Rhinolophus ferrumequinum: one gene and its partner. The protein of the gene in region 1 purifies or fractionates together with the protein of each later gene. This does not show direct contact. Links are inferred from orthologs where the notes say so. Each region holds a gene or a part of one and is shown in the gene's direction. Other genes may lie near its edges.

Evidence for each region. The genes of interacting proteins can lie anywhere in the genome.
Region 2: the proteins of AMBRA1 (region 1) and DNAJB1 purify together in Homo sapiens (affinity purification with mass spectrometry, with the first as the bait; 3 studies listed by BioGRID). This does not show direct contact. The link is inferred for Rhinolophus ferrumequinum from reciprocal best matches to the Homo sapiens genes AMBRA1 and DNAJB1.

The regions. Positions count from the first base shown.
Region 1 is NC_046294.1:14,390,901-14,398,057, forward strand, and holds the start of AMBRA1 (activating molecule in BECN1-regulated autophagy protein 1), read left to right. Parts: upstream 1-4,122; 5' UTR 4,123-4,125; coding exon 4,126-4,144; intron 4,145-7,157. UniProt on the Homo sapiens protein: Substrate-recognition component of a DCX (DDB1-CUL4-X-box) E3 ubiquitin-protein ligase complex involved in cell cycle control and autophagy.
Region 2 is NC_046301.1:47,637,551-47,644,503, forward strand, and holds the start of DNAJB1 (dnaJ homolog subfamily B member 1), read left to right. Parts: upstream 1-3,883; 5' UTR 3,884-3,994; coding exon 3,995-4,205; exon of another isoform or gene 4,206-4,249; intron 4,250-5,311; coding exon 5,312-5,889; intron 5,890-6,584; coding exon 6,585-6,815; 3' UTR 6,816-6,953. UniProt on the Homo sapiens protein: Interacts with HSP70 and can stimulate its ATPase activity. Stimulates the association between HSC70 and HIP. Negatively regulates heat shock-induced HSF1 transcriptional activity during the attenuation and recovery phase period of the heat shock response.

The DNA.
Region 1 (7,157 bases):
TTACCATCCAGCCCAAAGTGTGTACATTAGCCCAAAGTACCATGAGGCCAGGCTACAAAAGGACAGAATAGAATTGGAACAGCAAAACCTACAACTGGCTCATTTTGGCTGCTCAAAGTCTGACTCCTCTTCTTGGACTTCCTTACAGAGGACTCCTGGTACTTCTACAGAGTTATCTCATCCTAAGTTCAGGCCTGATTTGTTTCTCAGAGCCCAGATCCAAGATAAGGAACAATCTCCTCTTTCTCCTCCCTTCACCCCTCATCCCAGGCAATGTACCCAGTTCAATATGTACCAATCCTCTTTTCCTGATTTAGTCTTTCCAAATTCTTTCCACGTGATTTACAGTGGCTGGGTCCATTCTTAAAATAACTAACTATCCCAGTTTTCCCAAAGCTTTCACAGTTTCAGCACTGAAATTCCTGTGTCGTGGTAAACCCCTACGTCCTCAGCAAATTGGGACAGTTGGTCAACCAACCTACTTTAGGGAAAATACCGTCTTCAAGGTGATGGTTCCCCAGGAGAATCCTCTGAGAATACAACAATCAACATAATAAATTATTGAGTCTTAACACCAATATGTAGGCATCAGTGGTGTATCCTAGGATGATCTTTTCTTCTGCTCACCTGGTTCCCTCTTTTCAGGTCTTCCTCCAGTGTGAGGAGATTCCATAGTTTTGAGGGTTTCAACTGATATCTTGTGATCTAGTCTCTGTCGAAATAAACGCCATAAAAACAAACAGCAGTGTATTGTCACATTGAAGCTTAAAGCTACACTTGAAACAGTCTTCTAAAAAAATTTATCTGTGAAGAAAACCAAAAAAGAAAAAAAGGAATAAAACAAAGGGAAAAAAAGAGAAATTTATCTGTAGAGATGCAACTCTGCCTGCAGGATAAGGCATCTTTTTTATGAGTTCAACGAGAAGCCTCGCCTGAGCTTCTCCAAAATCTCCATTTTCAGATGATGATTTAAGATTTACATTTGCATAACTTTCAGGTGTTTTTCCCAAAATGAAATCTCCAGCTTTTGAAAAACTGAAAATTTCTTGTAGCTTTAAAATTAGTTTCTTTAGCTTTTCTCACTGAAATCAAGGATTCAAAATACCGTTATTTGGGTCGAGTTTGAATGAGGGCTGTAGTTCTAGACATTTATGTCTCACAAGCCTCTCCAAGAAGGAAGCTTCTCTAAAGCACGTATTGTAGAGGTAGAAACTCAGCCCTGAGATGACAGCAAGGGAAAGTCTATTTGTCTCATCTGGCTGCAGCAATGTGTCAGAGACTACTTATTTAATTGTGACCTAGCATCCATTTGACCCTGACTTTTGGTGGGTACGTGGCTGCCCAGGATGAAGACTAATTCCCAGTTAGGTGTTGCTGTATGACTAAATTATGGCCAGCAGAATGAATGTAAGTGGAAATGTCCTGTGCTATTTTCAAGATATGTCCTTATGGCTAGGAGACATGCCTTTCCTCTTTCAGATTCCTCTTTCGGATTGGAATGTTGACATGATGGCTAGAGCTTGAGCAGCTGTCTTGGACCTGAGATGAAAGCTACTTACTGAAGATGTCAAAGCAACATGATAGAAGAAGCCTGGTTCCTGATACTGAACACCTTACCCTAGGCTGTACATCTCTGGATTTCTTTTGTATGACAGAGAAATAAACCTCTGCTTTGCTTCCTTCTTTTTGTTTATGTGCAGTAGGACCTAATAATAAATAATAAGGTTATAACTGCCCCTTTCCAAGAGCAGAAATGTTTGGAAACAACATACATGTTCTTTTTAAAATAAATTTAATTTTTATTTATTTTTTCGAGGAGTGCACAGTTTACAGTGGCCCATGCAGGAACCGAACCAGCAACCTTGGTTTTATTAGCACCACGCTCTAACCAACTGAGCTAATCAGCCACCCCCAACAACATACATATTCAATAATGGGGAGCATGGTCAGTATATCCACTCCATGGAATATTATGCAATTGTTAAAAATAACAACAATTAAAGACTTTAATAGGGAAATAATATAATGAAAAACAATAACACTATTGTATCTCTGCTGAAATTAAGCTTAAATAAATTGTGTAGGGTATTTCCAAGGGAATATGAACAAATTAAAACTTTGGAGGCAGATTATTTTTTACTTTTTTCTCTTTTTTATTTTTCCTTTTGTTTTTCTTTGGAAGCAGATTACTGAATTCTTTCTTTAGACTTTCATAAATATTGCTGCAACGTTCACTCATTTTAAAAGTCCCCTAAAACAGTGGTAGACAACAAAAGCCCAGTGTTTTGTCCTCATATTATGGATGCTGGTCTCATCCTGCGTTATACATATGAGTTGTCCCTTAAATATTTTCACAGACTTAAAGGAGGAGATGTAAAAAAAAAACACCAAACAACTTTTATTTATTTAAGTGTGTTTTTCCAGGACCCATCAGCTCCAAGTCAAGTAGTTTTAATCTAGTTGTGGAGGGCGCAGCCCACAGTGTGGGGATCACAAGGGGCACAGGCCCATGTGGGGATCCAACCGGCAAACTTGTTAAGAGCACAGCGTTCTAACCAACTGAACTAACCGGCAGCCCCAAGGAGGAGATTTTTTAAAATTACAATAAATTTCAAATAAAGCTAATGTTGTAAGGATGTGGTCTTTCACTTTGATTAGATTATACACTCTTTCAGGGCTGGGACTGGCTGCTTTTTATACCTTTACTTTCCAAGCCTCTTAAGAGAAGATGAATTATTATTGCTCACATTTAGTAATTCATATTTGTAGTGATCTATGTGATTTATTGAATTGTACCTAGGATGTACATGTTAATCCACATTTGTGCTGAGTATATTAGTTTGTCTACTAAGAGACCTCAGAAAGAGGCTATTGTGACGATGAACATGTCAACACACTTTGTCAGTTTCTGAACCCAGAGACTTTTGATCATTATTTAAGAAGCATATCTATGGTTCTAGGCCTTTGAAAGAAAATAAAAAAACAGTACGTGTGTTACTTTTTTTCTGCTTTAGGTCAGACTACACAACCCCTACTTTTCCCAGCTTCTCTTAGCTATGCTTACAGGACCTAAATTGGAGCTTTAATAGATTTTTCATTATGTGTGATATAATCAAATTTGTTCAATTGGGATAGTGTTGGGAATCCATAAGGTACTCGGTGAACTGTGTTAAGTGTTACTGTGCTAAGACTTGCTGTTCGACACTCTCAAGAAAAACTCCAATTCTCTAAACAACTTGGCCGGCAACCGACACAGAAAATGGCAGAAACACAGGCTTCTTTACTCCATGGCTTTTGATCTGGGTTTGTTTATTTATGTCTTGGACAGGAGCCGGACCTTGAGTTGGAGCGGATATGTTTTTCGGCGTTCGACTGCACTTCCTTGAACGATTGCGCGGGCACTCCTTCTTTGATGTCTGGGACGTTCGTGTATTCGGTGATCTCTTGCGCCGTCTTCTCGCTTGATGTCTCCTGAGCGGCGGCGGCGGTGGCGGCGACGGCGGCGGCGCCGGGTCGAAAGCTGACTTATCCGCGAGGCCCTGCGCTCGGGCTGCTTTCTCCCGCTGGTCTGTAGAGCAGACCCTTGCTTCATTCCTGGATCTTCTTCCTCTCTGTGGTTCAGGCCACCCGCTGGGCTGCAAGCCGAGCCCCCGCCCGCCTTTCAGGTAGGCCCGGGAGGAGCCTGGGAGGCCCGGCCCGGCATCCTTCCGCCGCGGGGTTGAGAAGACCTTGGCGCCGGCGGGTGGGCGGGCGGGTCGGCTGCGGAGACGCGGCCAGAGGAGGAGCTACCCGGCAGCGTTCGGGGGCGCGGTCGGAGAGGCGGCGGGGAACTGAGGGAGAAGCCGGAAGGAGGGAGAGGTGCTGAGGCTGTCCGGTGTGGTGCGGTAGGGAGGGGATTTGGGGTCTCAGGCGGGTGTTGGCACCCCCAGTGTGGGGGAAGATCGCTTTCCAGGAACGGATAGAGCTTGGTGCGCACTGACCCTCCTCCCTTTCTCCTCTCCCTCAAGGCTCCCTGTCAGGACTCTGGCACTGAGGACTCCTCCTCTGAGATCGGCCTTTGAAGGGACCCTTGAGTAGGTGGAGGCAAATGGAACCAGGCCCTCTGGCTTCTCTGAGCGAAGTGTCATGGTCTTGCCTTTTTTGGGTAGGGAAACTGAGGCTGAAGTCTGGGACGTGACTTTCCCCATATCCCCGACAGATCATTTCTTGCATTTACGAGTTCACTACCCCTCCCCCCCATTTTACCAGTCACTTTTTGCACATAGTGATTTCTCGTTTAATTGTCTGTGATCCTGCCTCCCTAGGAATATAGATTTTGTCACTGGAGGCTTCAGAAGTAAAGGGGCCATGCGATCTTTTGGCTGTTTTGCTTTCCAAAGTCTGGATTGTTTTCGCGAGAGGAGCAATGACAATTTCTTTCTGTTTCTTGATAGAAAATTTTGTTTGCTGTCCAGTTTGCTTTCTGGTTGATGTTTATTTCTTCTCCTTCCTTTCAGCCTGTTTCTCAGTGGACATCTTTCAACTAAGAAAAAGATGTTAAGAGGTTAATGTCCAGCAGAGGATGGTCAGCATTTTGAAGTCAGACATTTGTCCTGAGAGAGTTTGCTTTCTAGGAACAATCCAAAGGAAACCCAAAGAGCCTTTTTTCTGAACAGTTTTATTGTTTTTGATTAGTGGTTTAGTTACTGCATATACTAGAGTTACTGCATATAGTACTAGAGTAGAAATCATTCAAATATTGAGATTTTTAAATTGAAAGTTAACATCCTGGGAACTCCGTTATGTTTTCCTTTTGTCTCCAAACTTGGAAACTTTGGGGACTAAGTGTTCTTACTCATTTTATTTTAATTGGATTCAGTGTCATGATCCAAATTTGCTTAATTTATTTATTGAAAAAAATAATCAGCTGCGAGGTCATTCTAGGTTGAAGAAGTATTTCCGTTGTATGGAGGATCAGTAAGAGAATGGTTTTAAGGGAGAACAGACTAAATTCCCAATCCTTGGATGGAAACTGTACAAGTCTGTGTTCCTTTAACAGTTTTAGAATTTTCATAAATATATATATATATATATATATATATATTTTTTTTTTTGGTGAGGTCAGCAAGATTTAAATGAAAGGCCCTTGATCATGAGTGATTTCTTAGTTACCAGAACTTCAGTGCTCCTAGAAAGGGATTAACGAAGAGCCACCAGATGATGTTTATGGAGAATCTAGATTGGGAAGTTATGCTTAGAATGTGTGTTCTCTGAAAAAGTTTTTATGGTAGAAGAGAATTTATATCAGAGGAAATAATTTAGAGAAGGAGGTGTCATCCCCTGGGGATTGCTAGGTTCTGCATAGAATGCAGAGTTAATGTAGAATCTCAGTGACTCTTAATGAATGCTGAATAATAAATGGAGTTTGCTATGAGTGTCACAAAGAAATGTGAGAACATTTTGTTATGTTTCTATAGGAAATAGCAGAGGGTTAAGTTGAATTGAGGACAAGAAATTTGGTTGTGATGATGGGTGGTTACCGGGATCGAGCTTCTTATCAGCTTCTCCCTGCTTTGTGGTAGAAATGCACTCAACTGTCCCTTTCTTGGTTAAATCTTGTGTTGTTGTTGTTTATAAAAATGTATTTGAGCCAAACAGAGGATATACACCTGGAAGCGAGATCTCAACAGACTGAGAAAAATGCTTTAGATCTGTGGTGTTCTGTCAATGTTGTGTTCTGTCAGTGTCAGATCACTATACTGGCTTTCCCTTTCAGAATTTACAGACTCAGAATGTGACTGAATTATTTTGTCTTCTCTTTTAATAAGAAAGTTCTTAGGGGTTGTTAAAGATGTGAACTTGTTTAAATGTCTTCTAGGACTTGCCCTGGGAGGAGCTATGTGTATCACTTGAAAAAGGTTAGTTATGTATATCACTTGAAAACAAGTAGTTATTTCTATTAACAGAGTAACGACTTAGCTTTAATACTGTATCATTTTCAAAATACTTTCAAGGTGTGTTAGGAAACTTAGGAAACATTTTTGATCATGCTGCTTTTAGCTGTTTATTAATACTGAATCCATTCATTTATGATCTTCTAGGGTCTTCATGAATGTTGGCAGTTTATGTTGACAATTTATCTCACTTATCTCACTCTTAAAGGAATTGGAGAAAAGGTTTTGTTGTTAGCACACTTAAGTCTCTTTTTAAATGTATGTCTCAGCCTTGATAATTTTGGAATGGGAAGCCAATCTTTTTGCCCAGGGGTTTGGTTTACAAAAAGAAAAGAAAAGAAAAGACAAATAAATAACCCTTAAATTCCTTTAGTCATAGCCATTCTTGTTTCTGTCTCCAATTGTTCCTCATAAACCCAAAGAGAACTTTCTGTTTCTTGTCATAATTTCTGTCTATACAGAAGTGCTATGGTACAACCTGTCCTGTGATTTGGCGGTAATTTATGTTTTGTATTTTCAAGTCCCTTCTCCCCCAAGTTAGTTAGATCTATTGTTTTCTCTTTTTCACAAAGCTGAGTTACTGATAGATAAAAATTTTGTGATCAGTTATTGTCAGAATGTATTTATGTGCTCAGCAGTATGTGGCAGTCTGCCAAAGCGATGTGGTAAGAAGATTAAGGAATCAGGAGACCAGGGTTTAAGTCCTGTGCTTACCAGTTTATTAGCTGAATGATCTTGTATAAATTATTTAAGGAGACCGTAGGGAAGGTCACTGTCCTTTATTGAGCATTTACTATGTCATGTTCTTTACATATGTTTCTCATTTAATACTCATAATAGTCCTTTAAGGTAGATATTATTTTCCCCATGGGTACTGAACTCAGAGTACATAAGTTGACCAAGATCACACAGCAAGTATATACTATAGAGGAGCTGGACTTTAAATCCAAGGCTTTGAATGCTTTTATGAGTCTCTGTTTAGAGAACGAGAAAGCCAATACTTCTATCATAATAACTTATGTTGAAAAAAGTACATGAAGCTGCTTTGAAAAAGTTAAGTGTTCTTCAAATATTACTTCTGTGCTATCTTGCAGCAGCACTGGACAGATGTCATCTAGGTTCTTGGACAACTTCTTTCAAGGCAGCACTTTGCTTGAGAGTTAGGGAAGATAGAGGTGACAAACATCAAACCAGCGGTTGGAGGAGCTTAACTAACATGATGTG
Region 2 (6,953 bases), on another chromosome or scaffold:
TAAGCCTATTTTCTCCTCTTCCTGACTACATAGTTAGTTACTACATAGTTAGACTACATTTCCCAGCCTCCCTTGCAGTTAGATATGGCCATATGACTGAGTTTTAGCCAGTGGAAACTACCCGTAGTGATGAGCACCAATTCCTTTTCCGGGCCACAGACATCTCTCAGGAGCTTTCCTCTATGTTCTTCCTCTTTGTTTTTTATTGAAGTATAATTTACATACAGTAAAATTCACCTTTTTCAGTATCTAGTTCTGAATACAGACAGTGGTATAACCACCACCAGTGGGGATAGAGAACATTTCTATCATTTCAAAAATTTCCCCCGTATCCCTCTATAGCAGATCCCAGCCCCTGGCAACCACTGATCTGCTTTCTGTCCAATACTTTTGCATTTTCCAGAAGGTCCTATAAAACAGCATCACACAGTATATAGTCTTTTGAGTCTGGCTTCCTTCACTAACAATGTAGTTGAGGTTTGTCTTCATTGTTTCCTATATCGTAACTTATTCCTTTTTATGGCTGAATAGTATTCCATTGTGTGGCTAGATCACATTAGTTTATCCATTCACCTACTGAAAGACATTTAGGTTTTAATGGCTGTCAGTAATTACGAATAAAACCTTGATAAACATTGGCTCATGGGTTTTATGTGAACATGGATTTTCATTTCACATGGGTATTCTACTAGGATTGGGATTGCTGGCTCATATGGCTGTCATGATTTTGAAGGCCTTTTTAATAGTAAGAGTTGAAAAGAGTGGTGATGCTTTTTCTTTAAATTAAGGTTTTATCATCATCTGAATCACATCTTGCACTTACCAGAAGTACTCAGTGTGCCAAACACTGTACACTTAAAAGCATTTTACTCCCTGGGTGGCCTCAGGCAAGTCACATGACCTCTCAGAATTTCAGTTTCCCCACTTGTAAAATGGAGGTAACACTAGGCCAATTTCCTAGGATTATTGTGTGTTAATACACACTGAGCTTGGAGACGGCTTGACACACAGTAGGGTCATATTCATGTTAACTGTTATTATAATGTGCATTTCCTGGTCCCTCAATTTCATCCACATAGCAACCCTGGGAGATAAGACCTACTCTTATCCTCATTTTATGGAGGACACACCTAATGCTCCAAGAGATCGAACAAGTTGTGCAAGATCTCACAGATAATAAATAAGTAAACAGTGGGTCCAGGATTTCAACTGAGGCTGACTGATGCCAGACTCACCCGCTTAGTTCCTGTATCAGCAAGGGGTCTACCAAAGAAATAGAACCAGTAGGCTGTATGTGTTTGTGAGTGTGTGTGAGTGTGTGTGTGTGTGTGTGTGTGTGTGTGTATTAAGCAATTTATTTCAAGGCATTGGCTTACACAGTTATAGGGGCTGGTGAGGCAAGTCTGAAATCTGTAGGGCAGACCAGCAAGCTGCATACTCTTGGTCAGGAGCTGACGCTGCTTCTTCAGGGAAACCTCAGTATTTGCTTTTAAGGCCTTTCAATATTTGCTTTTAAAGCCTTGCAACTGATTGGATGAGGCCCACCCTCATTATCCAGAGTCATCCCCTGTACTTAAAGTCAACTGATTGGAGATGTTAACCTAACCACATCTACAAAATACCTTTACAGCAACACTTTGATTGTTTAATTGAACAACTAGGTACTATAGCCCAGCCACGTTGATGCATAAAACTAACCATCACATCTTCTCTGGTTGAGAGCTGAAGCTCTGCTGAGGTTTCTGGAAGTGGAAGCCACTTTTCCAGTAACATTCTAAAGTGCCCAGTGAGTGTCCAGGTCAAAGAATCCTAAAGAAGTGTTGGAGAATTTTTTGTGGGGTTTTTTTTTGGGGGAAGGGTGGTTAAACAATGAAAACTTCCTGAACATGAGCCACGTTTATTAAAGGAAAGGGGAGGCCCTAAAGTTGCCCCCAAACACAACAACACCCAGAGCCATGTGAAGATCTTTGAAGGCCATCACATTTGTTAACTCGAAATTAAGTTTATCCTGTAAAGTAAATACTACCGTGTTTCCCTGAAAATAAGACCAGATAATCAGCTCTAATGTGTCTTTTGGAGCAAAAATTAATATAAGACCCGGTCTTGTTTTACTATAAGACTGGGTAGAATATAATATAATACCGGGTCTTATATTAATTTTTGCTCCAAAAGACACACTAGAGCTGATTGCCCGGCTAGGTCTTATTTGTGGGGAAACACAGTAGCATGTAAGTGTGACGAAGTCCACAAACTCTGAGTTTTTCTCCATGATGATTCTCCTGCTGTCTATGTACGTCACTTTTTAAAAGTCAAACTCTCTCCCTTCTCCATGACTGGTTCAGGACCCCTGCTATGCTGTGCCTGTGGACACCCATCCCACACTCATCCTCCCAGGTTGGCCAGTGTATATCCTAGTCTAGAGTCCTTACTGACACGGTTACCCCAGGGTCAGTGAGTGGCCACAGAGGGCCGGAGTCCTTCTGCTGGACTGCAGGGAAGGCCTTGGTTGTCTTCCTCAGGAGTCCCAGCCTACACAAGGGCAGCAATCACTGGACTTTTTGCTGCCCGGAATTCTGCCAGGAATTGGGTAGTTCAGCAGCCCCCCATTCAACAAGAGGGTTTAGTTACCCCTCTGAAAGTGCTTCCCGGACCTATCCCAGGCACTTTACAAATGTTGATTTATATCTACTTCGAAGGCCTACGAAGTGGGTACAACCACTACCCACATTGTACAGATGAGGAAGCTGAGGCCCTGAATGGCTCAGTAATCAGCCCAAAGTCACACTGCCAGGAAGTGATGGAACCAGAACAAAACCAGGCTGTCTGACTTCAGAACTAGTGTCACACAGCCCTGACCTCCCAAGAAGTACCTCCAAGAACCACCCTCCTCAGCAGCCACCACTGCCTATACCCCCCCTTTCCTTACCCCCTTCCCAGGTGGTACCCCTTTCTGAGCCTCCTTTCCCAATCAGCCCTGTCCTTGACCACAGGCACCTCAGACTCTCAGAGCCAGAAGGAATCATGTGCCCCATAGAAGAGGAAACAGAGGCCCTAGAGGTGTAGGACCCACCCATGTCCCCCCAAATCATAAAGGTAATGGAGAAAAAGAAGCAGGTGCATTCAAAACAGCCAGAAATATTTATGAAGTGTCCACTGCAACTGGGTGCCAAACACTGGAGGTGGGAATCACAGGCTGGGAGGCAGGTGACATTTAGCATGAAAACCACGGAACAAGATAATTTCAGATTTTATTGGCAGGTGTTCTTAAGAAAACGGTGAAGTGAAAGGCCTGAGGAGCGCGACTGGGAAGACCTCTCAGGGAAGTGACCTTTGGTCCCTAGTCCTCAGCTCGCTTTACAGAGGGACCTGTCTGATGAAAACAGGCATAGTCCTAGGACTCCCAATTGCACTCTCCCCATTGCAGGGACAAGAAGGCGGGTGGGTATTTTTATTCCTAGAAGGGGGATCTGGGACAGAAAGACATTCACCAACTTGCCCAAAGTCCTTGGCCGGGGCCCGACCCTGTGAGATGCGAGCCGGTAGGTACACCTCCTCCGGGGAAGGGGCGGGGCCGCCCTTCCCTAGCAGTGCGTCGAAACCTCTTGATCCACGCAGGGGGCGAAGCGCGCGGCAGGGGTCATCCCGGCCATCCCGGACAGTGCAACCAGGTCGCGATTGGCAACTCGCGCAGGGTGGGCAGGGCCTTCGAGGTGCGCGCGCCGTGGGGAGGCGTTGCCGAGGACCGAGCGGGAAGGGGCGTGGCCACGCGCGGACAGCCGTTGGCGGCGCGGCCCCCTCCACGAACGTCAAGCGTCGCGGGCTGGGTGGCGACGATTGGTCGGTGCGGTGCAGGGGGCGGGGCGGAAGGCTCTGGAGGGGGCTGGCGGGCTCTGGAAGCTTCCGCCGGACGGGTATATAGAGTCTGGGACGGGGCGGCGGCGGCGGCGGAGCTTGGGGACGGCTACAGCTGGGCGGCGGACCGCAGGCGTGGGCCATGGGCAAAGACTATTACCAGACGTTGGGCCTGTCCCGCGGCGCGTCAGACGAGGAGATCAAGCGGGCCTACCGCCGCCAGGCGCTGCGCTACCACCCAGACAAGAACAAGGAGCCCGGCGCCGAGGAGAAGTTCAAGGAGATCGCCGAGGCCTACGATGTGCTCAGCGACCCGCGCAAGCGCGAGATCTTTGACCGCTACGGGGAAGAAGGTGCGTGCGCGCGCGGCCGGGGGCGCGCCCCCGCCGTTTGACAGGTGGGGAAACAGAGGCACGGCGGCAAGGCTGCAGCATCCCGGGGGGGCGGGGGGTGGCTGCCCCAGGCGGCGAGCATCCCCCGCCCTCTGGCCATGGGCGCCTCCGTCCTCGGATTGGCAGCCGCCGGATGAGAGGTGGAGCTCTGGCCGTGCCGCTGGCGCAGAAGCTTCTAGCATGTCAGAGGCTGCCCCTCCCTGGATGCTTCCGCCCACGTCCCCGATCGCCCCCGGGTGCGGATGGAGAAGGGAACGGAGGCTTCTTCAGCTAGTGGCGCTGCGTACCCCTGGCCCCAGCTCACCTGGGAGAGGTGCGGGGCCCCGCCACGCAGGGGTGCAGGACGAGGCCTTTGGCTGATAGCCGGCCACCACCTGCGTCCAGTGAGACTGCAAAGGGGACCGCCAGTTGTCCCTTATCTCCCTCGTGGGCCCCTGGAGGGCAGAGTGAGCTAATTCCTGTAAAGTGCTTACCCAGCCCCGCGCCGGGGAAGCAAATGGCTGCCAGCGCCCACAGTGGCCGTCCAGGTGCAGGGAGTGGAGGGGACCCACTCTGCCCAGCCTCGTAGGGTAGCTCTCCTCAGGAAAGAAAAAAGGAGCTTTCCTTTTTGTCCAATTGCCCGTGGATGACTCACGCTGGCTTTTGGGCTTGGTGTTAACAAATGAAGTGACTTTTCACATAAGGATAATGGCAGCGGTGCCAGGGTGTGAGAATTAGAAAGCTGAAAGCTGGCCCTGGATGTGCGTTTTTCATCTGATCTCAGTGAATTCTTTGTTAAGTCTTTGTATTATTGTCGGGAGGGTAGGTCAGTGAAGAAGTGGCAGGATGTGGGTGGGCCCTAAAAAAAGTCATGTCAGAGCTTGAGCTCCCTCACCTCTGCTTTGCCATACTGAAGTACTTGGATAGGGAATCTGTCTCTGCTGCTACTGTGGGAGGTAAAAGCTCAGGTTCTTCCTTGTTCTTTACTGAGAGGCTAAAAAAATTTCTCTTCCAGTGACCCCCAAGCACTTTTCCCTTAAGGAAAGCTTTTGGCCAGTCCTCTGACTTCTTGGGATTTTGTCTTTCAGGCCTAAAGGGCGGTGGTCCCAGTGGTGGGAGCAGCGGTGGTGCTAATGGTACCTCTTTCAGCTACACATTCCATGGAGACCCTCATGCCATGTTTGCTGAGTTCTTCGGCCGAAATCCATTTGACAACTTTTTTGGGCAGCGGAACGGGGAGGAAGGCATGGACATTGATGACTCATTCTCTGGCTTCCCTATGGGCATGGGTGGCTTCCCCAACCTGAGCTTTGGACGGTCTCGCCCTGCCCAAGAGCACACCCGAAAAAAGCAAGACCCCCCTGTCACCCATGACCTTAGGGTTTCTCTCGAAGAGATCTATAGCGGCTGTACCAAGAAGATGAAGATCTCCCATAAACGTTTGAACCCCGATGGGAAGAGCATTCGCAATGAAGACAAAATCCTGACCATCGAAGTGAAACGGGGGTGGAAAGAAGGGACCAAAATCACCTTCCCCAAGGAGGGAGACCAGACTTCCAACAACATTCCAGCCGACATCGTCTTTGTTTTAAAGGACAAGCCACACAATATCTTTAAGAGAGATGGCTCTGATGTCATTTACCCAGCCAGGGTCACCCTGCGGGAGGTAAGGCACTAGGTGGGGCAGTGTCTGTGGAGGGAGATAGCAGATAGCGCTTTTTGCAGCAGTTTGGGGTTTTTTTTTCATATCTCTCTTAATTTTTTTTTTTTTTGGGTAACAGTGTTTTCTGCAGGACCCATGAGCTCCAAGCCAAGTTGTTGTCCTTTAGTCTAGTTGTGGAGGGCGCAGCTCAGCTCCAAGTCCAGTCGCAGTTTTCATTCTAGTTGGGGGTGGGGGGGGCACAGCACACGGCAGGGCCCTCCTTCAATTCCATGTGGGAATTGAACCGGCAACCTTGTTAAGAGCTTGCGCTCTAACAAACTGAGCCATCCGGTTGCCCAGCGGCAGTTCCTTGTCTTTAATGTAGTTGTGGAGGGCATAGCTCACTGGCCCATGTGGGAATTGAACCGGCAACCCTGTTGCTAAGAGCTCATGCTCTAACTGAGCCATCCAGCTGCCCCGGTATTTGTTTAACAGCTATTTCTGAGTGTTTGGTGCCTCCAGACTTGGGGGTGCGGCAGGAGCAAGGCTGGCCAGGACTCTGTTTTTCAGGAGCTTTCATGCTGATGACCTGGGTAGATCTGGAGGGCAGGGCCTAGCTACAGAGGTCTGATGGCTCTTACTCTACCCAGATAGTTTCTGGGCAGGAGTGGAGCTTCCTAAGGTAATCTCCATCTAACACTGTCACTTTGCTTTCGAAGGCTCTGTGTGGCTGTACTGTGAACGTCCCCACTCTGGAAGGCAAAACCATACCCGTCGTGTTCAAAGATGTCATCAGGCCAGGCATGCGGCGAAAAGTTCCTGGAGAAGGCCTCCCCCTCCCCAAAACACCCGAGAAACGTGGGGACCTCATTATTGAATTTGAAGTGATCTTTCCCGAAAGGATTCCCCAGACGTCAAGAACCAAACTTGAGCAGGTTCTTCCGATGTAGCCACCTCCGTTCCCCAAGGACTGACCAGGGACCTTTCCAGAGCTCAAGGATTTCCGGACCATTCCACCAGTAGTGGACCCATGAGACAGCGGGAGGGCCCAGGGAGGGCTTTCGTCCTGCTGAATGTTTTCCAGAGAA